3 linked regions of the Oreochromis niloticus genome follow. The protein of the gene in region 3 purifies or fractionates together with the protein of the main gene of each other region. This does not show direct contact. Links are inferred from orthologs where the notes say so. Each region holds a gene or a part of one and is shown on either strand. Other genes may lie near its edges.

What was found.
Region 1: the proteins of mtf2 (region 3) and ezh1 purify together in Homo sapiens (affinity purification with mass spectrometry; 3 studies listed by BioGRID and IntAct, with this or other methods). This does not show direct contact. The link is inferred for Oreochromis niloticus from reciprocal best matches to the Homo sapiens genes MTF2 and EZH1.
Region 2: the proteins of mtf2 (region 3) and jarid2b purify together in Homo sapiens (affinity purification with mass spectrometry; 3 studies listed by BioGRID and IntAct, with this or other methods). This does not show direct contact. The link is inferred for Oreochromis niloticus from reciprocal best matches to the Homo sapiens genes MTF2 and JARID2.

The regions. Positions count from the first base shown.
Region 1 is NC_031969.2:26,101,750-26,109,661, forward strand, and holds the start of ezh1 (histone-lysine N-methyltransferase EZH1), read right to left. Parts: upstream 3,004-7,912; 5' UTR 2,518-3,003; exon of another isoform or gene 2,273-2,517; intron 1,361-2,272; 5' UTR 1,359-1,360; coding exon 1,188-1,358; intron 914-1,187; coding exon 788-913; intron 123-787; coding exon 1-122. Other genes in the region: ramp2 (receptor activity-modifying protein 2), read left to right, coding at 5,421-5,481, 6,076-6,138, 6,228-6,260.
Region 2 is NC_031985.2:20,234,678-20,241,611, reverse strand, and holds the start of jarid2b (protein Jumonji), read right to left. Parts: upstream 3,004-6,934; 5' UTR 2,965-3,003; coding exon 2,877-2,964; intron 1-2,876.
Region 3 is NC_031982.2:10,795,658-10,803,415, reverse strand, and holds the start of mtf2 (metal-response element-binding transcription factor 2), read right to left. Parts: upstream 3,019-7,758; 5' UTR 2,800-3,018; coding exon 2,795-2,799; intron 1,917-2,794; coding exon 1,712-1,916; intron 1,564-1,711; coding exon 1,482-1,563; intron 387-1,481; coding exon 276-386; intron 120-275; coding exon 19-119; intron 1-18. Other genes in the region: dipk1aa (divergent protein kinase domain 1A), read left to right, coding at 3,884-3,937. UniProt on the Homo sapiens protein: Polycomb group (PcG) protein that specifically binds histone H3 trimethylated at 'Lys-36' (H3K36me3) and recruits the PRC2 complex, thus enhancing PRC2 H3K27me3 methylation activity.

The sequences.
Region 1 (7,912 bases), on a different chromosome or scaffold from region 3:
ATAAAGTTGTGCTGCAGAGGGGACCAGGAGTACATAAAGGGGATTCCAGCTACTGTTGACAGTGGTCTCATGGCAATGGCTTGAGCTTTGAATCCTGGGAAGCCAAACTCCACTGTACACACCTGTAAGATAACCAGAGGTGGCTTGAGAATCACCAGATCCTAGAACAATATGCTGCAGCACTTGGCCGTTTTATAACTACACACTTAACTCTGAGCAGGGGGAATAAAACCAGTTAACACAATACAGCCCACCATGACAGCATGCGGGAGGAGAAAGATGTGGTTATACCATCAGGCTGTATGTATTATAAGCTCCCACAGGGCAGCAGACTGTTAGACTGTCATGCGATCCACTTCTACCACACTTTCCCATCCAGTTGGGAATCGGTATAGAAGATTGGGAGGGGTGAGGAGATCTCAACATGATGTTCAAGAAGGGATTTCCTCACAACACATTCACATTATAAAAATATATTGAACTTCTAGCTTAGCCAGAGCATCTTGGACAGGAATAAGAAGACGTACCGCAAGGTTCAGATAATAGTGCAAATCATGTGTCCTGCCATTGTCTTAATAGTCTCCATCGCTCTCTTTTTGTATATTTTGGGTGGCTTTTAGCCTTTCTTATCTTCTCTCCACTGTCCTATCACAATAAAGCTGACAGAAGAGAATGAGCGGTTTCAAACCCTGGACACTGCATCACAGCATAAGGGTTGCATGCTCAACTAAAGCTAGATCAGTGCCCCATAATTTCTCCGTCTCTCTCTGACAGACCACACACCCACCTTTTTGGTGGCCAGAGCCCCATTAGAGGTTGACAGAGGGATGGACTGAATCCGGAGCTTGGACCATTCTGTGTTTAGGATATTTGTCTGTTGCTCAATCTTTTGCCTGTTAGACATGAAAAGGGTCTAGAAAAAAAAGAGAATAAAAGACCAAGTTAAACAAGACATACACACTATTAATATAGCACACGCATTGAGAACTGGATACAAAAGACACACCAGGATCCCACGTACAAATTAAGCGTTGCTCTTTATTTGTTCAGGACCATTGCACAAAACCCTGATTGCACAAGAGAAAAGATGTCTTGTGCCATATTTAGCTACAACCTTATCTTCATTCACAGACCCTGAAAAAAACTGAACATCTGAATTTAACTTGGGTGATGTCAATGTGACTCACTTTGACCTCTTCTGCTTTTTTAAGGCGTTTGACCTGGCGAAGGCGCATATACTCAGACTTGACCCTCCGTCTCCACTCCAGCATGCTGCGAGAAGGGATAAAGGAGGAAGACTGAGGTCTTGGAAGTGATGGGGCAACACCGGTGTCAGGGGCTGCTGCACTTTCCTCCATGACTGTTTAAAAATAAAAGGAAAGCATATGACAAACAGGCCCAACTTCAAAACATTCCAGTTTCATATTCAGACAAGTTACTTTTGTAAACTTAGGTTTGTTTTCATGTTTTCTGCCACAGTAACTACTTTCACTAATTACATTAAATGTAATATAGTAGTAGTATAGCAGTAGTTCTGATGTAATATGCCTGCAGTCCACTTCAGTTACCTTATTATAGTACTAATGGGCTTACTATCGCCCTCTGTTTCTCACAACCCCATTACATTTCCCCATTCACCCTCGCCGATGGTCTTTCTGAAAGAGTGCCCCCATCTGTTAGCAAAACAAAACAGACGTCTAATGCAAAAAAAAAAAAAAAAAAAGCCTCCTCGAGTGCTTTACGGGGCTTTTTCTGGTAGACTGTTTCTGCTCTTTTTATAAATCTTGGGGAAAATTGATTGAATTATGCGCATACAGCGCGACAGTGTGCGCATCTATGAATACAGCACATGAATTTAATAGCACGGGGCATCCACATTGCACAGGAGTGGGCGTGCCACTTCAGAAAAGCAGAATAGAAAAGTGCGTAGTACAGTTTTTCTGTGTTTCATAATCGCCACGCTGAATATCAACTTCCCCGTCTGAACTCAAACGGAATTAAAAATAAATACAAAGGTAAAACTGAGCTCGGGGAAACTGCTGCACCTCGTTTTTGGGGGCTACGAAACGTGCACACGTTTCAGACACATGAAGCTATGAAGTCCGCGACGTCCTGTAAGTGCAGCCCCGTGCCAAGAGAGCTACACAGTACCCATTTAAATGTAGAACACTCTAAAGACGTGCGCACCGAACAGCACAATGACGGCACGTTACACTAGCGCACGGGTGTGCACGTCAAGATCGCTACATCCAGTGTCGCAGTTATTAAATACCTTTAAATCCACGTCTCGTGTCCTATTTGTTGCGACAACAGCCCGCAACGCGACCAAGTCCCTTTCTGTTTTTCTCTCTCTCTCTCGTTTTTTTTTTTTTTGTTTTTTTTTTTAGTAGAGAGATCCGGAGCAATTCAAGGCTGTGTTTGCTATGGCTCTGACGCAGTTATCATCTCCGCGCAGCGAGGGGATCTCTGAGAAATCTCTATCCATGGGCATGGTGCTGGAGGTTGTTGTTGTTGTACCTTACAAATAACTGCGCACTTGGCTTGGTTGATCCAACTCGAGCAGGAGGGTGACGTCTATATTATGATCACAGCCTTTCCAAGCAGAGGAGGATTTATTACTATTCTGCGTCCTGGGAATAAAAAGTAGCGTGCAGCAGCCACAGCACAGCCATTTACACGCATACACAGGAACTGATGCAACTGTCCGGAGTGCTAGATCGCCATCTAAATGCGTGAAGGCAGAACACTCTGTGGGTTTTGATAGTAGAGCAAGTGCAAACACATAATCTTAAATACAGCCGACTCTATAGGAGCGAAAGAATAAAATGGCCTAAATAAACATTATGAATACACGTAGCTTTATAGGAGTATCGGGTATTTATTTTATATATTTACCAAAAAAATCAATGCAAAATAAACTTCTCACAAAACCTGAAAATAGATGCATTAATTCAGTCTGCCCACAGAGCTGAAGTAACTGTCTAGCCTACGAATTAAAAATAATAAATACTTGGACACTGGAACACAGTTTCCCGACATTCCAATGTACTAGGGTCAAATGGAAAACAATTCAGCTGCTGTTCAGCTCTTCTCCTCCAGGGAGAGCCCGACACACAAAGATAGAGGGTTGGATGACGGTATTCACGCCACTGATGCTGTCACTTAACCCACGTAAAACCCACTATACAGAGCTCAAGCAAGCTGAAAAATGATGTTTTCGATGGACTTTGATTTGACGAGCAGCGATATGAGAAAGCATAATGACTTGAATTTACAGAGAAGTATATTAACCTCTGTAAATCTTTGCTTATGTGTAAGTAGCCAAACGTCACACCCCTTTTGTAGGGAAATGTTTAATTTAACACATCACGCGTAAACCGGACGTAGGGTTCAACGGAACACGTGGTAATAGCTAATCTCATTCCATTTTCTGGCTTGATTTGATTTAATGTACACAAGCTAACTGCTAACACCTAACACTATAAATAATTACGATAAATTACCAATAGTCACATTACTATGGAGGCACTGATTCTGACTTGTGTATACATTTAAAATCAGAGAAAATCAGTTAATTTGCTACAATCACTTTAAATAGATTCAAATATTTACGTTCAATTAAATATAAAATGTAGTGTGGATAAATAGTGTGTGTACTTAATGCCAAATAAGAAGCTGAAAGTGCAGGCAATCGAGTAGTGGTTTGCTATAAATAAAAGTCCTTGAAAGTACTGCTTTGATAAACATGTTAGATGTTGTGTGTGCTCTCCACGGGAGGAATTTTAACATATCCCCTCAGGATATAATACAAAGAAAAAAGTAAAATACAAAGGATATATTTAAAAATATTTACTCTCAGGGTATTTTATTTATAGCTCCCATTTATTTCATTTTATAGTTTATTACTTGTAAGATATTAAAAAAATCCCCAAAAGCAAACACAGTAATTATTCATCTGCAAGACACAAGATGGCGCTATTTAGCTGGTTTTTAATGGAAGGACGCCACATGAACTCATATGTACACATCAAAGTAGGATTAAGAGAAATGAAACTTTATATCGCCTTAACAGACCCATCGTGTTTCTCTCTGATTGCTGTTGTTGCTGATCCCCTCTGTTCCCTGGCTGTGCTGTTTGTGGCACGCATGCCTGCTTATGATTTATGCATTCAGTGAGCAAAAGGTATCTCAGATAGTACAGTTTGTTTGCCATATCCACAGTGATATTTGAAGTAGCCACTGCCATGTTGATACTAAACTGTCAAACAAAAGCAAACACACAGAGGAAGATGAGCTTAGGACACTGTTATCAGCAGGAAGTTTTTAATTCTGCATCATGTAAACTGCGTGTGTTGATCTTGGCATCTCTATTTGGGATACATTTCTTCAGATATGCTGCAGGCTTTATGATCTGTGACAAAGCCTTGGAGATGAAAAGATTTACAACGTAGCTAATAAAACAGAGACTTCGAAAGCCATTTGAAATAGTGAGTGACTGTAGAAGCATTCATTTTCATAGAACACGTGTCAAAGTAAATGTTTACTTACTTACATTTCAAATATGCTTCATGCTCCACTTCGCTCACACTCCAAGTTCAATATTTAAGCTTCTATATGCTGGATTTTTAAAGTTCAGTCCATTACATGTAAAACAGTGGCCTCCTTTAACTGAAATGAAATGTGGAAGCAATTTTGGCCTGAGCTACTTGGATTTCTTCCAAGCCTAGCAGCTGAAAAAGAGTACTCATCCCTCAGTGACGTGAATCAGTTTCATACTGGATATTCCAGCCACCTCTCTTTACCACAGACGTTTATTGAGATAGATAGATATTCTTTACCCACGGTTAGTCAGTTGCTCCACAGCAATGAAATATGAATCCATGACCTAAAAAAAATGTAGATTCATTAAAACTTTGTCTGATATTTCTGAACAATAAGCTAAAAAAAAAAAAAAAGTATCTCTTCTTTGTGATTCGCAGCCCTGTGTGTTTCTCCTAAAAATACTTTACTGAAAACTTTTACTTCTCTAAATCTTTGAAAAGCAACTTGTCAGCAGCATGTATCCTGTCAGTCTAACATAGCTTGCATTTGATCAGAAGCTCCTGCATGTTTGCAATAAAATTCTGCTTGCAATGATAAATAAAGAGGCAGAAAGTGGGGAAGAGAAAAACAGGACAAAGTGTGGCCCCTGAAAACAGAGGGTGGGACAAACTAAGGAAATAGATGAAGAGAGAGAGATTGATAGTGCTGCACCAATGGGCCGCAATAGTCCTAACTTTATCAGAGGCTCTTTGCCCCATTTGGTGAGTCCGCCCCTACTAGGAAATGAGGGCTTCCTGTTGCTTTACACAGCCTTCCTGCAAAAGGTTGAGATATGTAATTCTTACCCATCAGGGAAGAGGAGAAGAACATTAGGCAAAATGACACTCACCAGATTCTTAGTTATGTATTTCAGAGTTTTTATGCTTCTTTTCATCTGGGGTAAGTAAAGGCTTTATGCTATCCTATTTTTATTATTTTGACTTAATCTTTTAACTTTTCCATGAACTCACCTCTCAATAAGAATTCAAAGAAAATGTTTAGTAATTAGTAGATTTTAGTAAGGAGTTTAGTTAATCCCCTGACTGAGTTTTACACTGAAACAGTTTGGATTAAGGGTCAAAGAGTAATTGTGATCAGCCTGAGACAACTGATTTTTCTTAGATCAGTTTTTTTTTTAACTTTAGGAGGATATTTTTATGAATCTCGTTGCATTTTTTAAAAAAATGCAGTTGTCATGAGTCTTTAAGAAATAAAATATTTCAGTCAATTACTTATTTATTTCGCGCAATAGGACCGCGATCACATGGGATGAGCTTTTGAGTTGAACACATTAAGATTTCCTTAGAAAAGTGCTAGACAAAGGGAGGATGCACTCATGTGTTCACTCAGCACGGCATGTTATTTCCTTTACTGCCCCACTCAGGTCTGCAAACTACATATAGAAGATTATGTACACGTATAAAATATTGTGGTGTTTTAAATCAACAGTTTTATTCCAATGTTCAGGTCTTTATTTTATTCCTCTTATTACAGCAAGCACAGCAGTGGTATGTCAAAGTGAAGAAAAGGTAACTGTGCATCCGACAGTAACAGTAGGTAAGTACATTTACAGAAATAAGCAACAAACCAAGGAAGAAACAAAATTCATGCATGACCACTGACTAACTGATACCCCTCCTTTGCAGAGTTTAACTCAACAGACAGGATGATGACTCTTAGTAAGTGCATACATTTTCTCCATCACTTTATTATAGACTGACAGCTATACATCTATGTCTATATGTCCTAGATTTTGTATTTTTACAGTTCCAAATGGGGTTTATGTAATTGCATCCACTGAGGAATTGCTTTGGATTACATTTCTAAACTTATTTGCCTGGTCTGGAACTGACAAACCAGAAAAGCAGAACTCAGGGATCCTTTTTTCTGCCAAGATTTGTCCTTGTGTGTATTACCATGAGAATCCAAGACAAACTCCTGGGGAGGTCTCTACCAGTGAGGGGTCAACGTCAGTGGACATGAGGCCCGTACTGGTTTGGGGTTGGAGGGTAACTGAAACCTCATCACGAGCAGCCCCCACCTGGCTCGACTTCCTTAATTTGTTCGTCATTCACCCCACGCAACGTCTGTGATCAACGCATGAACTCTGAGTTGTGAAACAACTAGAACATTGGAGCAGCGCCCCTTTCACTGTTCCTCATCCTGTGCCTTCCTTTTTTTCCTTTTTTCCTCCATCCCCCGACTGTCCCCTCCTCCCCCTGCCAGCGCTCTCAACTCTGAGCCCCCCACCCACTGAAAAAAAAAGAACACATTTCCTGATGTCATTACTAAATCAAAATGTTGCTTGGCAAACAGATGTTGTGAGAGGCCGAACATATGGATTTAGTGTCATAAATTAACAAGCTGGTTGTGAGAAACCCTAAACCATAGATTTCATTTTTAATTCAATCAGTGAAAGCACCTCTCTTGCACACAATTTTTTTTTTTAAAGACAGTGAGAAACTATCTTCCAGATGTATCACACACATGAGCAAGATTTCCCGTACTTGTAGCGTTAATTACAGAATGTTTTCCTACTAGCATGCATGCGTAACGATAGTTGGCCCTTTAAACAGCTGGTCAACTTTGACAAACAACTATTTCCAGGTTTGGTCAAATTAACCTAAATATGAAATCATGGCTGTCTGCAGAGCACACCCTGCAGAGTCATGATTACATCCACCCCGAAACGCTAAGTCCTAAATGTTTACTTATGTTTCCTATTTGGCAGAGACAGCCCAAAAGGCAAATAAATCACATGCTGTGAGCTGGCCAGGCCTTCAACTGTGAGAAACTGAGACTAAAACGCAGAACAAGAGTTAAAGAGTAAAGGGTTTTCAGATGTGAGTCCAGCCCCAGTTTGGGTGTGCTCCCTTTTATTTGGGAGAATGGAGAGGACAATCTTTGTTGCCTCCACCCCTTTAAAAACGGAAGAAAATTTTAAAGAAACGTGTGTTAGAGAGGGGGAGAGCCGCTGCCAAGGCGGAGGGCCATCAGACAGATCTTCGAAGAACATCTGGTAACCGCGGGTAACATTGTTTGGACATCTGGTAACCGAAGATTGCACTGCGTCTCTTCCATCCTGTCGGGTTTCCTGTTATGCCTCGCTGTATGAAGTCTAAGAAGTTTTGGTTTTTTATACATGGTTATACGCTGGGGAAAACACACCTTTATTCATTTTTTCTGACATGAAGGGAGCACTTGGTTTCATAGGGTTATTCCTCTCCTTTCTCTCCGGTGAGTGTGTGGTCTCCCTTTTATATATGGAAATGCCTGCCTCTGTGCTAGAGATGTGGAAAAAATTCATTATCTAAAGTAGACAAAATTTCCC
Region 2 (6,934 bases), on a different chromosome or scaffold from region 3:
TGGGGGAGCAAACGGAAGGACAAATGGATGGAGGGAAATAGGGAAAAGTAGGAAGGAAAAAAAAAAGAGGAAGAATGTGGCTGCGATGCGTGGATTAATGAGCAGAAGCTGGGATGCAGAAGGGCATAATGCCATTTGATAAATAATGCAGGAAAGGAGGCAGGATGTGTGATGGACACACAGACGGACGGCTGCCAGCTAGCAAAAGGTAAAGTGGCTGGGGAGATGGCATGATTACTGGTTACGGACAGGGAGAAGGGCTGGGGTGGGCGGGGAGATAGACCGACACGTGCGGCTGATTGACAGGCCGCCACACCTCCCTCTAAAATAGATAGCCGCTGCTGCCACACAGTGACGGAGGAGGGAGGAGAGAGGAAAGGGAGAGGGGATGGAGAGATGCCCAAAGTAGGGGCAAAAAGCTGCTTTAGAAGCTTGGCTTGATGACGACCAGATGCCACGCTTTCAATCAGATCTGAAATAACATGAATTCAATCGTCCATTGACAAAAACACTCTGAAAAGCTTGATTTTTTTCAGCGTTCTGTCATTGGGATTAAAAACAAAATGCCAGTCCAAGAAAATGGACTGTTTGTCATTTTCTGCTTAAATAATCACAGTTTTACAAATTTCGCTCTTTACATTTTTTGTCAATTAAGTAAATAAGCAAGCAATTTCCTGCCTTGCATCATTTCATCAATGCCCTATCCAAAATGACTGATACTTCCACACAGACGACGACGCCTGCATGAGGCTGAAAAGTGCGGCACATGTCTGGCCCCAAAATATGCCCAGTCTCTCTAACCCGCAGTCCTCTAAAACAGCAGGGGCTGCCCATTCAGGATGTAGTGCATGCTGAGTGTGATCCTCCAAAATGGCTGACAGTTTCACCACAATGTCTGTGTGAGAGAGGAAACTGTGCCGCTCGCACTGCCTCCAAAGCCTCGCTAACCCACGGTGCTCTAAAACAGCAGGTCCCGTCTATTCAGCCCGACTCCCTTTTGTGTCAGCGCGGGCTGCTGTCGTTACCCCCGGTGCGACAGGCTGCCAACGCTTTCTAATGAGTCATTTTTATTCAGGCGATAAGGTCAGCTACCCGCGGCGGCTTAAAAGGCCCTGAGGAGCTCTGGAGTGGCAGCTATGAGATGCCAGACAGACGCACGGAGATGTACTGGCACACAAGGAGGGGAGGGAGGGGTGGCACTCAGAACCACTATGGACAGAAACACTAAAGGATTTTTTTTTTTTAATCTGTGTTTAATAAAGGAAACATGGCAAAAATAAGAAACGAGGAAAAGGAATAAGCTACATTTCAAAAGAGGCTCCCACCTCCCCGTTTATGCCCGTCTCTCTTTCTGCCGAGCTGGATAGCTGGAAGACTGGGCGTGAACTTTCAGAGGCTCTTTTTTCCTCCTGGTTCCTTTCTTTCCACGTCTGGGTTGTGTTAATGTCAACTGAGAATAGCTTCTGAGGCACGTGTGAAGTTCAAATCTCCGCTGTTGGCTGGCTATGGGCTTTTGTGTGTGTGTGTGTGTGTGTGTGTGTGTGTGAGTGTATGTGTGCGTGTAGGAACACCAGTGTCAAACAAAGACATGGTGGCAGCTTGGTTCAAAACAAGCTGTTCATCCCCCCTGTGCACTCACTCTTCTCATGTCGTTTCAGCCTCTCTTTTTTTAAAAACACACAAATTCCCTCAACTGTTTCTGGAGCAGGCTTCGACCATGGGATTGGATTTCTGTCTTTAGTAAGTAATTTCGGGTATTAGCTCAAGTTAAGGCTTCTGATAGGCTCGTGTTTTAATGAGCCCTGACCCCAGGATGGGTGTAAATGTGTAAAGCTGTGGGGTGGAGGTGGAATTAGCAACACCTATACACGTGTTTTCTTGTGTGTGGCACTGCTGGAGACCTCATCTGTGTCCCTCTGTTTGATGCACAAACAACTTTTTTAGAAACGAGAGGGAAATGTTTTCAGTTTTGAGGACGTGACACCGGCCCAAAAGACGGCTCAGTGACCAGAAACAAAAAAAAACTAGCAACTCTGACATTTCCCCCCTCAAAACATGACTGCAGCCATTCTTTGCCTCCGACTCTGTCACAACAGCGTGACGGTTTTCAGCTTCTCACACCTTCTGCAGTTTCTTTTTACTGTGTCAAGCTGTTAACAGCACACTAATTGGTGTAATTTGTTTTTCTCTCTTTGCAAAGTCATCATCTACATAAAGAGTACAAACGGGACTTTTCCACTAGAAGAACCATTATCCTTGAGTAGGAACCTTGGAGGAACTTTGTGTGTTTCTACTAAAAACACCCCTGCTCTCGCACTCGTACCTTCTAAAGGTTTAGGGATCTTCTATCTTATTACCACTGTTTTTGCATGACTACCTAATGGACTGGAGCAGAGCAGTTTCAGCAAACCCAAGTACTTGAATTTTCGGATTTAAGTAATTTCTCTGGCCCTTTATTTAGACCCTTGTCCCTGCAGTAGAAACACAAGAAGTCCCTCCAAAGGTTTTAACCTACAGGGAAAGATCATCAGTTCTCCAAGAGTTCTCAATTCTATTAACAAAACAGCCAGTCCTGTATGCTTAAGGGTTAATCTGTAGTATACAGCAAACTTGCATATGTATAATCACTTACTGAATGCTGCTGATATGAACAAATAGGCCGGTTTACTTTATTTCACACTTTAACGCTGATTAATTCAGCAAAGTATTACTGCTGTACAGTACACACCTACACATCTACTCAATCTGCTCTTTTGTAGCACCCAACCCAGGGACAAAAACAAAAGAAAACGTTAGTGCAAAGATGAGCTATGCACTATTGCATTTATCTCCTTAATGCTCTCCTTAGAGCATTAAGGAGGTGGACTTAAACCCACCATTAGAGTTTGTGGTTCCATCCCCATCCAGCTGCCGTTTCTGTGCAGTCCTAAACTCCTTTAGGGAGAGGTAAAGCACCTTTCGCATAACCCGCTCCTCCGACCACGGGATCCCATCACTGTCATCCTGTGAAGATATCAAGATGGTGAAAGTGGATTAGTGTAAGCCCTCATCGCAGAGAAAAACCACAAGCAATGTGCATTTCTCCATTTTCTGCAACCATTAACTCTGTTTCTGTTCACATCATGTTTTGGAAAGAAAAAAAAAAAACACTTGGCAGACAAGAACATGAAAAGCACATAATAAAAGACAGTATTTGTAAGTTGGACAGCTGTTTATGCCGGGCCATTTCCTTTGTTTCTTTTTGCAAGGCAACAGAACTTCCAAAGTAGTGTGGCGTTAGGTCAAGGTCAGGAAATGCTCACAGGCCAGCCAGGCTTAGATTTGCCTCAAAACAAAAGAAAGCTTAAACTAACTTCAACAAAGTCTGTAAATTTTCACATTTTTGCGAAGAGATACCCACATAATTACTCAGCACTTTCAATGTAGCATTAAAACTCCAAAAATAGCGTAGAATGAAGGAATTTCTTACAGAAAAAAAAAAAGATTTTAGCTAAACTATGAACAAGCTATTAAAATTAGAGAATGAAAACTGTGGACCGCAGTAATTTTAAATTATTTTATGAATAGTTAACACAGAAATAAGGAATGCATAATTATTAAAACAGATGGTCAAAACAGAACAAAACTATTAGCTTGATTAAAGTACTTGTAAAAGTTAAAATTTTTAGCTAACACTGTGGATAAACAAATGAATGTATTAGCAAGACACAGTGGATATTTCTAATAATATTAGCGAAAATTATGAAAGCTAAAAGTATGGCCTGAGCCAGCAATGTAACAATGACCCAACAGAGTGGAGAAACAGTTAAAGCTGTTAGCTTACAATACAAACTAAATGTAGCTAGAATGTAGAAGAACATCAGATAAATAATCCGAGTTTTGGATGACGGCTGTGCTAATGTGTGAGCAGTTATGATAGATTTAGTAAAGAGAGGGAAAAAAACAAATAAAAAGGTCCGAGTAGAATGGGGACTCCCTTCCATATTGTTCTTATTGCATCCTTCCCGAACATTTCTCACTACATAGTGACATTAGCATGACACAATATTAGCATAACATAGCATTAGCTTAGACACAGGGCAACACATTAGCATAACAATACATTAAGGGGTCGCATTTTCCCCACAACGCCGTGAGCGGAGAGCATTAAAGCGATGAATAGGTAGGAAGCAAATGAAAAAGGCATCATGGGACTGCGAGTTTATGTGTTGCTAATCTCTCCCAGTGAGAACGAGACAAAAGATGTTATTGTCAAAAGAGGTCACCAGGAGTCACACATGCACACGCACGCACACACACACACGCACTAACACGCACGCACAACACATCCTTCTCCGAGACATAACCCATTCAGACTCGGTCTAGGCAACAAACACAAGATGGTCGAATGTGCAGCACATGGAGGGAAAGTTATTGGAAACACTCATTGCTCGCACTGAGAGTTTTAACGGCTTATTGGAAAAAAATATTCCAGCCCAAAGAGCATTCTAAAAAGGGTCTTTAGTGAGTGTCCAACAGCAATCACCATACTTCTTTCCTCCCTTGCTGCTTACACTCATTGCTCTGACAGCTGTGTTTGATGTCGAACAACGCTAATGACTAAAGGAAATGAGATTAGGACATGCGCAACAACAAAGAGGTATTAATAAATAATGGAAGCTGGAAATAGCTTTTCTCTACTCGAGTCATGGGGCGAGTGGTTTTCAGCTGTTAAGTCTCAGAAAAGAAAACATTTGCTGCTTTTATGTAACCGAAAAAAACCCCTAATGTATGCTAATTATCTGAATTAAAAGCACATTTCAGGTCCTGTCGACCCATCTCAGCAAGCACATTTCCTTCTGTCTGAGTCAAATGTAAAGAGGCAGACCTGTGTGGGAGCACACTGTTTGTTCATCCAGTTGACTCAGACCACTGGAGCTGGCTCTGCTAAGTGGCTGGCGGACACTGCAGTGGCATCATTGTTGGCTGGGTGCATTATTTTAAAAATAAATAAATAAAATTCCACATCAAACAAAAAAAAAAATTTATAATAACAATCATATCAAACTGTTTTACTGCTGCTGATAACAAGATAACGACGATAGAATTTGTTTTAATAGAATACTAAAAGATAAATAAATAAAAAGCCCCAAAAAGGAAAGAAAAAACAGAAGCAGAGGAGTAAAGATGACGAGCTGTGGGAACACAAACTGTACTTCTGTGTGCGTGGAAGATGGAGAGCGATGTAATCTTATCCTACTGGTATGGATTCTCCCACAGGCGAGTGAATAAGCCCGTTGTTTCTGACTCCTGGGGTCGGAAATGTTCTCTACACACACAATCAAACATGCAACTAAGATATGATAGGAAGGAGCAGAAAATAGTGTGAAAGTGGTGGGCTGCCTTTGCACAACTTTATTTAAAAAGGAAAAAGAAATAAGCCAGCACAGTACAAATTTTGGATTACAGGCCAGATGCCAACTTCAGTGATATGGTGTCTAATTTAAATCTTATTAAAAGGTCGCAGAGATATCTTGAGTGTTCTCTGTTGATATGACTGTAACACTGACAAAACTGAAGATTCTCTTTGTTGTTTCCGTCTCTTCGGTGGATAAAAATAAGCTCCTGCCTTTGTTTTGATTTCCCAGGTCTGCCCGGGGACCCTTCGGGGAAAGGCCTCAAGAGCTGGCGAGGGGAAAGGTGGGCAAAATATTAAAAGCTGAGTGTCTGCACATGATGGAGCTGATGGGTGACAGCCATGTCTGCCTTTATACAACACACACGCTCGCACGTGCACACACACACACGCAAGCAGACCTCCCAGTGCACTGATGCTTCGCAGCCTCTGACAGAGGGTGATAGGGTATTTTTTAGGGGTGTAACGTGCAGTCACTCATTACACTGTCACACATGACCACACGCACACACACACACTAGAGAGACAGATAGCGGGAAGTATTCAATTATGCCATTTTCTCCTGTAGTTAATGTCATCTAATCCATTCACTGTGTGTGCATGCGAGTGTGTCTGTGTGTGCATGTGTGCAAAAGCCTGCCAGGTAAGCACCAATTACCTAGACAGCTCACTAGCACTCTTTCCCTCCATGGTGTGGCAGAAGGCCAAATGTACACACACACACACACACACAGCACTGACAGTATATCTCAGGGTTACAAATGCTCTCATATACAGATTCTATGGCTCGACACACACACAAAAACACCAGACACAGCTGCATCGGGAGAAAAAAATGACCTTAAAGTTCATCTGTATTTCTTTTTCTCTCCGTTTCTCTGTGGTTTCCTCACAGTAGTTGGCAGATTGCCACAGATATTTCCTGCACTGTGTACACATGTGAGACTGGGGGGAAAAAAAAAAAAAAAAAAATGCAGGGAAGAAATGCTGACCGACTTTTCACCGAGGGGAGAAACGAAAAGAAAAAAGTGACGGTTAAAGCTGTGCTCTGCCGCAACTGCTCTAACCTAAAACTTCCCAATACTTGCTCATAGCTGCACGAGATCAATTAAACAAGTTTCCACAGCCATTTTCTGACCCAAGACAAAATGGGCCTTCTGATCAGAAGAACCTGCCCCTGCATGTGTGTTTGGCAAAATGTTGGTCAGCATTACAAAAACCCTCCATAACCATATACATCGTGTTACCACAGGACAAGCTTAGCATGAGAGAAGAAGAGAAACATCTACTCAAACAACCAAAACCAAAACGTGCTGCACCTCACTTTCCCTGACAAACACAGCACACCGTGCGCGTGCGCGTATGTGTGCGCCTGCGCTTGTGAGGCACTGCCAGAACTCTTCAGAGACCGCTTCTACACAGAGCTACCTGGCACTGACACACACATCTACCCTACAACTAGCTCCCACCAGGCTAGTGGAATTCCACTAATGAGCGCGGGGACCTTTTCGGTGCACACAGTGCGTATGTATAACCAAG
Region 3 (7,758 bases):
TTAAAGAAAAATCTGTACCTTAGATAGAGAAGTGAGCTCGCACTCTGAGCAAAGCCACTTGTCATCAGAGTCGATGACAGCAGCATCGATGACAGGGGAGTGACACCGCTGGTGGTAGCCTAAAACACAAATGAACACATCCGTAATGGCCAGAGATTAGAGCCCAACAGACGAATAAATAAACTACTGAGACTGGCTGTTTAAATGGGTTATAAATATAATATAAAATAACTGTTTCTGGCTTATGTTGGAACATCAGAGACAATAAATGATACCTTGTCCACATTTGTCACAAATGACAATCTCATTGGGTTCCTCTGAAGTTTCGTCCTGGCATATGGAGCAGACAATGTCATCGTCGTCGTCATCCTCATCATCTTCTTCCCCTAAACAGCACCAAAGTCATGAAGGTAAGCAACTAAAGTTTCAGATCAATGGTGGTATGACTAAGGGTATCATTTAAAGCAGCTTTCAGTTAAACGAGGTCAGAGGAGTACACCGAGTCATCACATGAACAAAAGATGACTCAAATTCACCCAGCTGAAACTAGAGAAAGGTGGCAGGGAAAATATTTTACAACCTGGATAAATAAAATCCAAACTGTCTGGTTATCGGGGGGGGGGGGGGGGGGGGGTAATCACGCTTCCGTGTCACTGAAGGTCTACACCAGGATACTAGAGAGAAGATTCCATCTACTGGCTTAACTTTTGATTCAGCAGGAATAAAGCCGTTTTCATCCTGATTGCGGACAGTTTGCTGCCTTCTTCCTCCTGAGCATATTCGAGGGTGTGGGATGTTTGTAATAACTATGTGTCTTTTCTAGACCCGAAAGGGGGATTTCTATTCAAATCATTTTTTTTATTTTTTTTTTAATGTAGCGCCAAATAACAGCAACAGTTGCCTCATAGCGCTTTATCACACTTGCACAGGAATAGAATTTATAACAAGATTTTGACTGCATCTCATGTGGTGATTCTTTGTCATACTTTTTTAATATATCACAATTCAACTATTGAGATGAGGTTTGAGGTTAAAATAAATAAATAAAAATTATCCCACAAATCGTTTACAGTCAAATGTGACGAATGTGTCTGATCATAGCTTTCATTAATGCTTTATTCATGACCCATCCCATTTAAGAATAAAAATGAAGAATAAGTTTTTCTTAACACCATAATAGCTAAAGGGGCTTAAGTGGAGCGATAGCAGCCCGTCTGCATATTAGCAATGCACTGCGACTGTACTGATACACTCTACAGTTAACTGTCAGTGACAAGAGCAAGAGATAAGTAAGTCCTGGAAGAGGCAGAAAGGTTTGCACAGCACAAATTGTGGATAATTGACTCCCCACCCTCTTTGCACTGGCTTACAGTATCTTTACTGCATATTATCTAGCAATTAAACTAAAATATATTGCACATTTTAAATTTCCCTTTGGGATCAATGAAGCCATTCTTATCCACCTCGAAGCCAACATTCACCTGTTTGAATATCCTTCCAAAGAACCCAAGACTTTGACCGATCCTCAAAAACCACAAAACATCGGTGCTTGTCCCGATCTATCTGAAAAACAAAACAAAGAAAGATTTACTTGTTTCCAGATGCGACAGGAGCAGATTTTGCTGCAAATGACCTATACTGATTTCAGGAGTTTTTCTGCCAACGCTCTCCACACAGTCCGTTTACCTTCATGCATCATCCTCACACTAACCTTTGCGATTGTCCCCAAGTAGAAAAGGCCATCTGACCACCGGGCCAGGACATCCTGTCCCTCTGAAAACCTATCAGACATGCTGTCTTCTCCATACTCTCCCCTGGCAGAAAGGCTTGTGGGGGACAAGGACACAGCCTGCTGCTGCCGCTGCGGGGGATGAGCTCTGTGATGCACAGACAGGTGATCCACAACCCCTGAGTCTCTGAAAAACAGTGCAATACAAGAGAACAGAGGCAGATGTGAATTTAGACTATGGAGCAAGCGGATATGGAATAAGTTCAAAGTTAATTTAGGAGAATTTTTTTTTCTGCTTACTGTAAACAGATTGTAATTATTTATATGTGGTGTATTCTGTTTCCTCAAAAGAATACTAGTACAACTTAATGCATGTTATTGGTATTTTTTTTTTAAACTGATAACAGCTAGCAGAGTAACAGTCCTGTATGTGTAGCCCTCAAACACAAGGATGCATTGTGTGCTTGCAGAAGGGCTTACAAAAGAGAGTGAAACATGGCATTTCCTCTCCACTGGCTTTGAACAACAGGTGATTATACCCATAATTAGTGCTAATTGGTAATTAACCACATAGTCAGTAACATGGCTTCAATGCAATGAAAGACAAAAAACAAAAACCTAACCACCCTTTTAGAAATAAAGACCAATGTACCAATGTACTTACTACTGAACACTTCCATTCCACCACAAGTCTCAGTGACAGCAGATAGTTTGTACATACTAATACAAAATGTCATATTTCTAGCTTCTATTACAAATGTTATTAATTTCAGATATTAAGAAACTATTGGGGTTTTTTCCTTCGCCTTTAAACGCTGTCCTCCAATGCAGGCTTTCCTTTGTTCGGATAATGAGTGGACATATTCAATGCCAGCCACTTAGCAAAGATAAAAAGACAGCTTGGGATGCCGCTGCACGCTGATATAATGTCTTGTATATTAAATAGCTGGCAGCTGGGCGAGCTCAGCAGCGGGAATAATCCACATGCAAAGCCGTAACCCCAGCCAGGTCGCTGACCGTCGGACCCACACCCCCCCTAACGGGAGGAAAACATGACAACAATACCTCATTCGGTCACCTCCGCTTCTACAAACGACTCGTACGACAAAAATAACCGGACAGAAGAGCCGCTCTTATCCCGCTCCTCGAGCAACTGAATTCACTTCCAAAGCGTGTCTGGAAAACATGCGGGGTTTGTGGCTTCCTCAGAAAATAACAAACGGTTCATTTTCCCCGAGCAAGTTCGCCATTTTGGTTTCCCGCTGGTGATCGGGGAGTGCATTATGGGAAGAGCTTAAACGACTGCTGCTGGCTGTCTCTGCCGCGACGCTCACCATTTTTTCAAACATTTGAAATTGTAGGCAGGGCATTTAGTAAGCAAAACATATCCGCCCCTTAAAGAAGCATATTTTTTTAAATTTTTTTTATTATTTTAGTCGACGTTTTACTGGAGGTGTTATGCGTAAGTGTCTGCCTAAGAGAGACATTCTAAATATAAAATATGTTTACTCAAAAACATCAGAAGTTTAACGATGAGATGTTTGATAAACTTGTGCAAAGTACGGCCACTTCATGGCGCTACAACATAACATGACGCTAACAGGTAATTTTTAATTAGACCTCCTGGCCGGAAGTTGTGTGTAGCGTCTCCGCAATAAAACCTTTATTTTGAAGGAGAAAGCGGATGTTTGTGTTCCCTCTCCTTGCTGGCTTGGGCTTGACCTGCTTGTACCTCCAGAGTTTCGCAAACACGCAATATTGACTCACCGTTATCTGCGGAGGGGATCTGGCATCGGTGAGTGGGCTTGGACAGCAGTTTTGGTCAAATTAGTTGATCACATGTAAACTTAAAAACAGACATCTTATTGGTAGAGTTTGCGCCTGCGCTCTGAACCTGCGTTTTTTTTCCCCAGCTTCAACTATGTTGCTTTGGTTGGAATTCAGCAGCTGCTGCAAACAGAGCCCAGGCGCAGGCAAAGTGTGCCGTCAGAGCGACTCACGCCGTCAACACAAATCGACAATCTGAGCTTAAAATCGGATAACCTGCAATAATTTCCCTGTGCCCGTCGTTTGATGCTGAACAGGCTTTCTCCCATGGGTTTTTGGATGATCCCCCACAGCCAGGTCCACGTCTTGAGATGATCTATTTTTGTGATGGCGAAGGGTCTGTTTCCACGGGCCTGGGTGAAAAAGTCTTTCTACTTTCAGGTAAGATTGCTACCCAGGATGTGTTGTGTGAAGTGGATTGCAGTTTAAAATGAGGGGATGCTGTGGGGTTGTTTGAGCTTGCTGTGGTGCCACATCACACTGACAGCTGGCAGTAAACGGGTACCTCCTCTTGCTGCTCGGTGTGGGCGACATCAAAATACCTGATGAATGCAAAATGCAAAATACCTGATGAATGCGAGCCTGCTCTAGAAACAATATCATCGTTTCCCTGGCTCTGCTTTGTTTTTGACTGTAAAGACGCCAGGGCTTCCACTCAGTCTTTTCCTTGCCTTCAGCAGTGCCAGGGCAGCAGTAATTCCTTTGGGCTGGGTAATAAGGGTTGAACCTTCTGATTTGAGGAGCAGCTGCCAGCAACTTCTCCCAATACAGTAAGGAGCTTATGAAAGAGGAGGAGAGTACAGGGCTGCATTTGCTCTTAAAAAGGGTAGAATGCTGCTGTATTACAACATACACAACAGTCAGTTTAATGCAGTCTACTGAAAGCTGAAACATGTTGAGCTCAAAGTGTGAAACATGTTGGCAAGCTCACCTCATTTCATCTGGCTATAACCAGTAACCAATTACAGTAAACCAATGTCTCCTGTAGGCCCGTGGTTTAATTCAATGAGATCAGTTGCTACTAAGCAACATGTCATCCTGTACCGGGCGTTGTTTTTTTTTTTAAGGCCTGAGAGGACTTTGATCCTAGAAGAAAAAAATGATTTTGCATGTGTTTTCACTGCATATTGTGCATGCAGTCTGCACATTTTTCACAGTAATTAGGCAAATAGTTCTGCTTGTGGTCTACTCAAATCAGTTTCTCCCCATGTTCTCAAACAAAAGGTCAGTGCAAAATGCAAACGGGCTCACCAATTTTGAGAAAAAGCCTCTCTAAGAACTTTCTAGGAAACCTGTTTGCTCATAAATTCACAACGGCAAAATGTGTTCCTTATTTTCTTCCAGGTAGCAAGCTTACAAGGCAGGTTTCAGCAAAGTCATCACAGTTTACTGCAGAGCTGACATATATATGGCTCCTGGACCGAACTGTGCTGTCAGAAATCAAGTAGCTCAGATGTCAAAGCGTGCTACATTTAAAAACCAGTTTAGTAAGGCTTCATTGAGCCTGTAAAGACACGTTTTCAATCAGAGATTATTAGCCACCCTCAGTGCGTCATGCGGGATTAGAGGCAAAAACTGACAAGGAGAGCCAGCTCCGTCCTGAGACGCTCTGTGGATTTCAGGTGGGATGAAATGACAGTGGCCATCACCGCAAATCCCTCTACATGATATGGGTCTTTTGTCTGGGTAACTGAGACCATCTGTTGACAGACAGTGACCCTAAAGCTTGCACTATGGATTTTGTGCTTTGTCACTTAGCTCAGTCGTGCATAGGTCATTCAGCTCTCAGCACTTAGTCATTTTATTTGACTTATCTTGTTTTGTTTATTTTATTGATTTATACCTTGAGGCTGCTATACAACTGCAAAACATGTGGAGTCTCTGTCCCTGTCTTTGTGGTTAGTAATATAGTAATAAACATCTTTTTGACTCTTTTTAACCCTCATACGTGGCATCAGTTAGGTTTATCCATTGTTTTCCTAGTTAAGACGTTTAGTACATATCAGGTTTCATTGCAGAGGAGACACTGTAAGGGACCACAGGGTTTAATGAAGGATTAAGCTCTGTCCTGCTCAGCTTTCACATACCCCACAGACAGTTCACAGACACACATGACTCAAAGTCACTTGCTTGTCATGACTATGGAGGGCTGGGCTGCATCCAACCTTTAATTTCCATGTGTGCACATAGGCAATGTTAATTCCGTTTACACATGCCAAGGCATTCAGATGTGATAGCAATGTTCACTCTCTATCCTTATCTCCATCTCTTTCGTGGAGGCCAACTGTCTATTTAGTCATCTCTTCAGGGCACACAGTGTTTAAAATCAAAGTGGTCATGCAGAGGAGACATCTGTCCTGCTCTATTAAAAAGCAGCTGCTAAAGCTCAAATAAATTCCTGCTGTTGTCAGTAACAGATTGATGAAATGCACCAAATAGAGAGACAATTAATTTGTTATTTTCCCGTACCCTAACCTTTTTGTAAAAGTATTTGGTGAGATGCCTTAAATCTCTAAAGAATACAAATTAAGAGTAATTTGACCCTCTGTCTGTGTGTCAGTGCGGATCAGACGCTTTAATGTCTCCCACAGAGTGTATAAACCCATAACAGAGAGTTCTGCTCTGTTTACAAACTACAGTAATCACAGCACATGAAAGATAAAAAGGCTTTTGACTTGGTGCCTGCCACACCGCCAGGGTATTTTGCTGGGATTTGGAAACACTGCTGAAGCTGAATGAGAGGCACGCCAAGCTGCCAAAACACACACGGCATAACCAGTTCCTGTCATGCAATCAAAGAGAGAAGCAAAATTACTTTATCCTCCCAAGTGCAGTTACAGTCCTCGGAGGAAAAACTAACTGCAGTTTTGTTTGGGTAAAAGTCGAGAAGTGTGGCCGACGGAGGCAGTCTGACCTAAATTCTTTTCACTGCTCCACTCTGCCTTCCAACAGTCCTCTTTGCTTTATCTTTTTGCTTGCTTTTATTTAATTATTCTCTTAGTCTGTGTGCTGCCGAGAGGATCATTTCATTAACTGACTTCAGCTGTTGCTCCAGAGCAACATCAAGACCTCACAGAAGTGTCCTGTAACTTCTTATTGTAAAGTTTTCGCAATTCTAGTTCGACACTCTTTGATAAGGCCGCAGACTTTTCTGCCATAGAAGAGATGGTGAAATGTGTAACTGTGTTGTGTGGATTGCCATGATAGTTGGCTTAGCAACCTTTGGCCCCACTGACCAAAGAACAAATTAACGAATTATTGACACAAAATGTTAACGTTCCCCCTCCCAGAGACTTTTGCAATCCTCTGACTTCAGCACCACCAAATCAGTATTTACCTGCTGTAAGGAGTCCATAAGCCTCAGCTGTATTTTGTGTTTTTTTCTTAGCAAATGTTTGCATGTTGGCATACTAAACTAGGATTTCAAACAAGGTAAAAGTTATAGCTGCTAATCATTGCCATGTTATCGTTTTTATTGTTGCATGCTAAAGTTACACTTTAACTCAAAGCACCACTCTTTATAAGTGCAGCCTCGCAGAGATGCAAAAATAACACTGCTATAGGTTGGTAATAAAGGAAATAGTTACTTTCTGTATGCACAGCTGAACTTTGACTATTTTGGCATTAAACGTGATCTTTCTTCCTGTTTTCAACAACTGCAGCTGTTTTTGTTTCTGATTTGGTTCATTTCACTTCAGTTTTTTATTCCATTAGTGGTGAGAGTCACCAGATACCAGATGATACAATATCATTACCGGGCTTCACACTATACAATATTATTTATCTAGTTTTGCAAATTATGCCCTCAAAGTTGAACTTTGTCAGTGCCTGTTTTATCACAATAACATTGGCAAGCATACCAGTACTCACTAAAACCAGCCATAATTATTGTGAGATAGTCTATGATTGAAAGGGACCAAGTTGGCAATTAAGTGCAATCTATTGTTAATAATACATCAATTAACTGTGATAAATCCTTTAAAATCACATATCTGTTGAAGTTTACATAGGCTCAAATTCATTTTTAAAAGAAATTCACATTACATTTGCGTTCAGCAACCTTCCTGTTCTATAGAAATATAACCAGCTCACAAGCATCCAGCTGACTCAAGTCCTCTCGAGTTGTGTTTACTGACAAAGACTCATTCAGACTGATGGCAACATGTTGTCAATCTGTCTGCATTTATAAATCAGACAGCAAT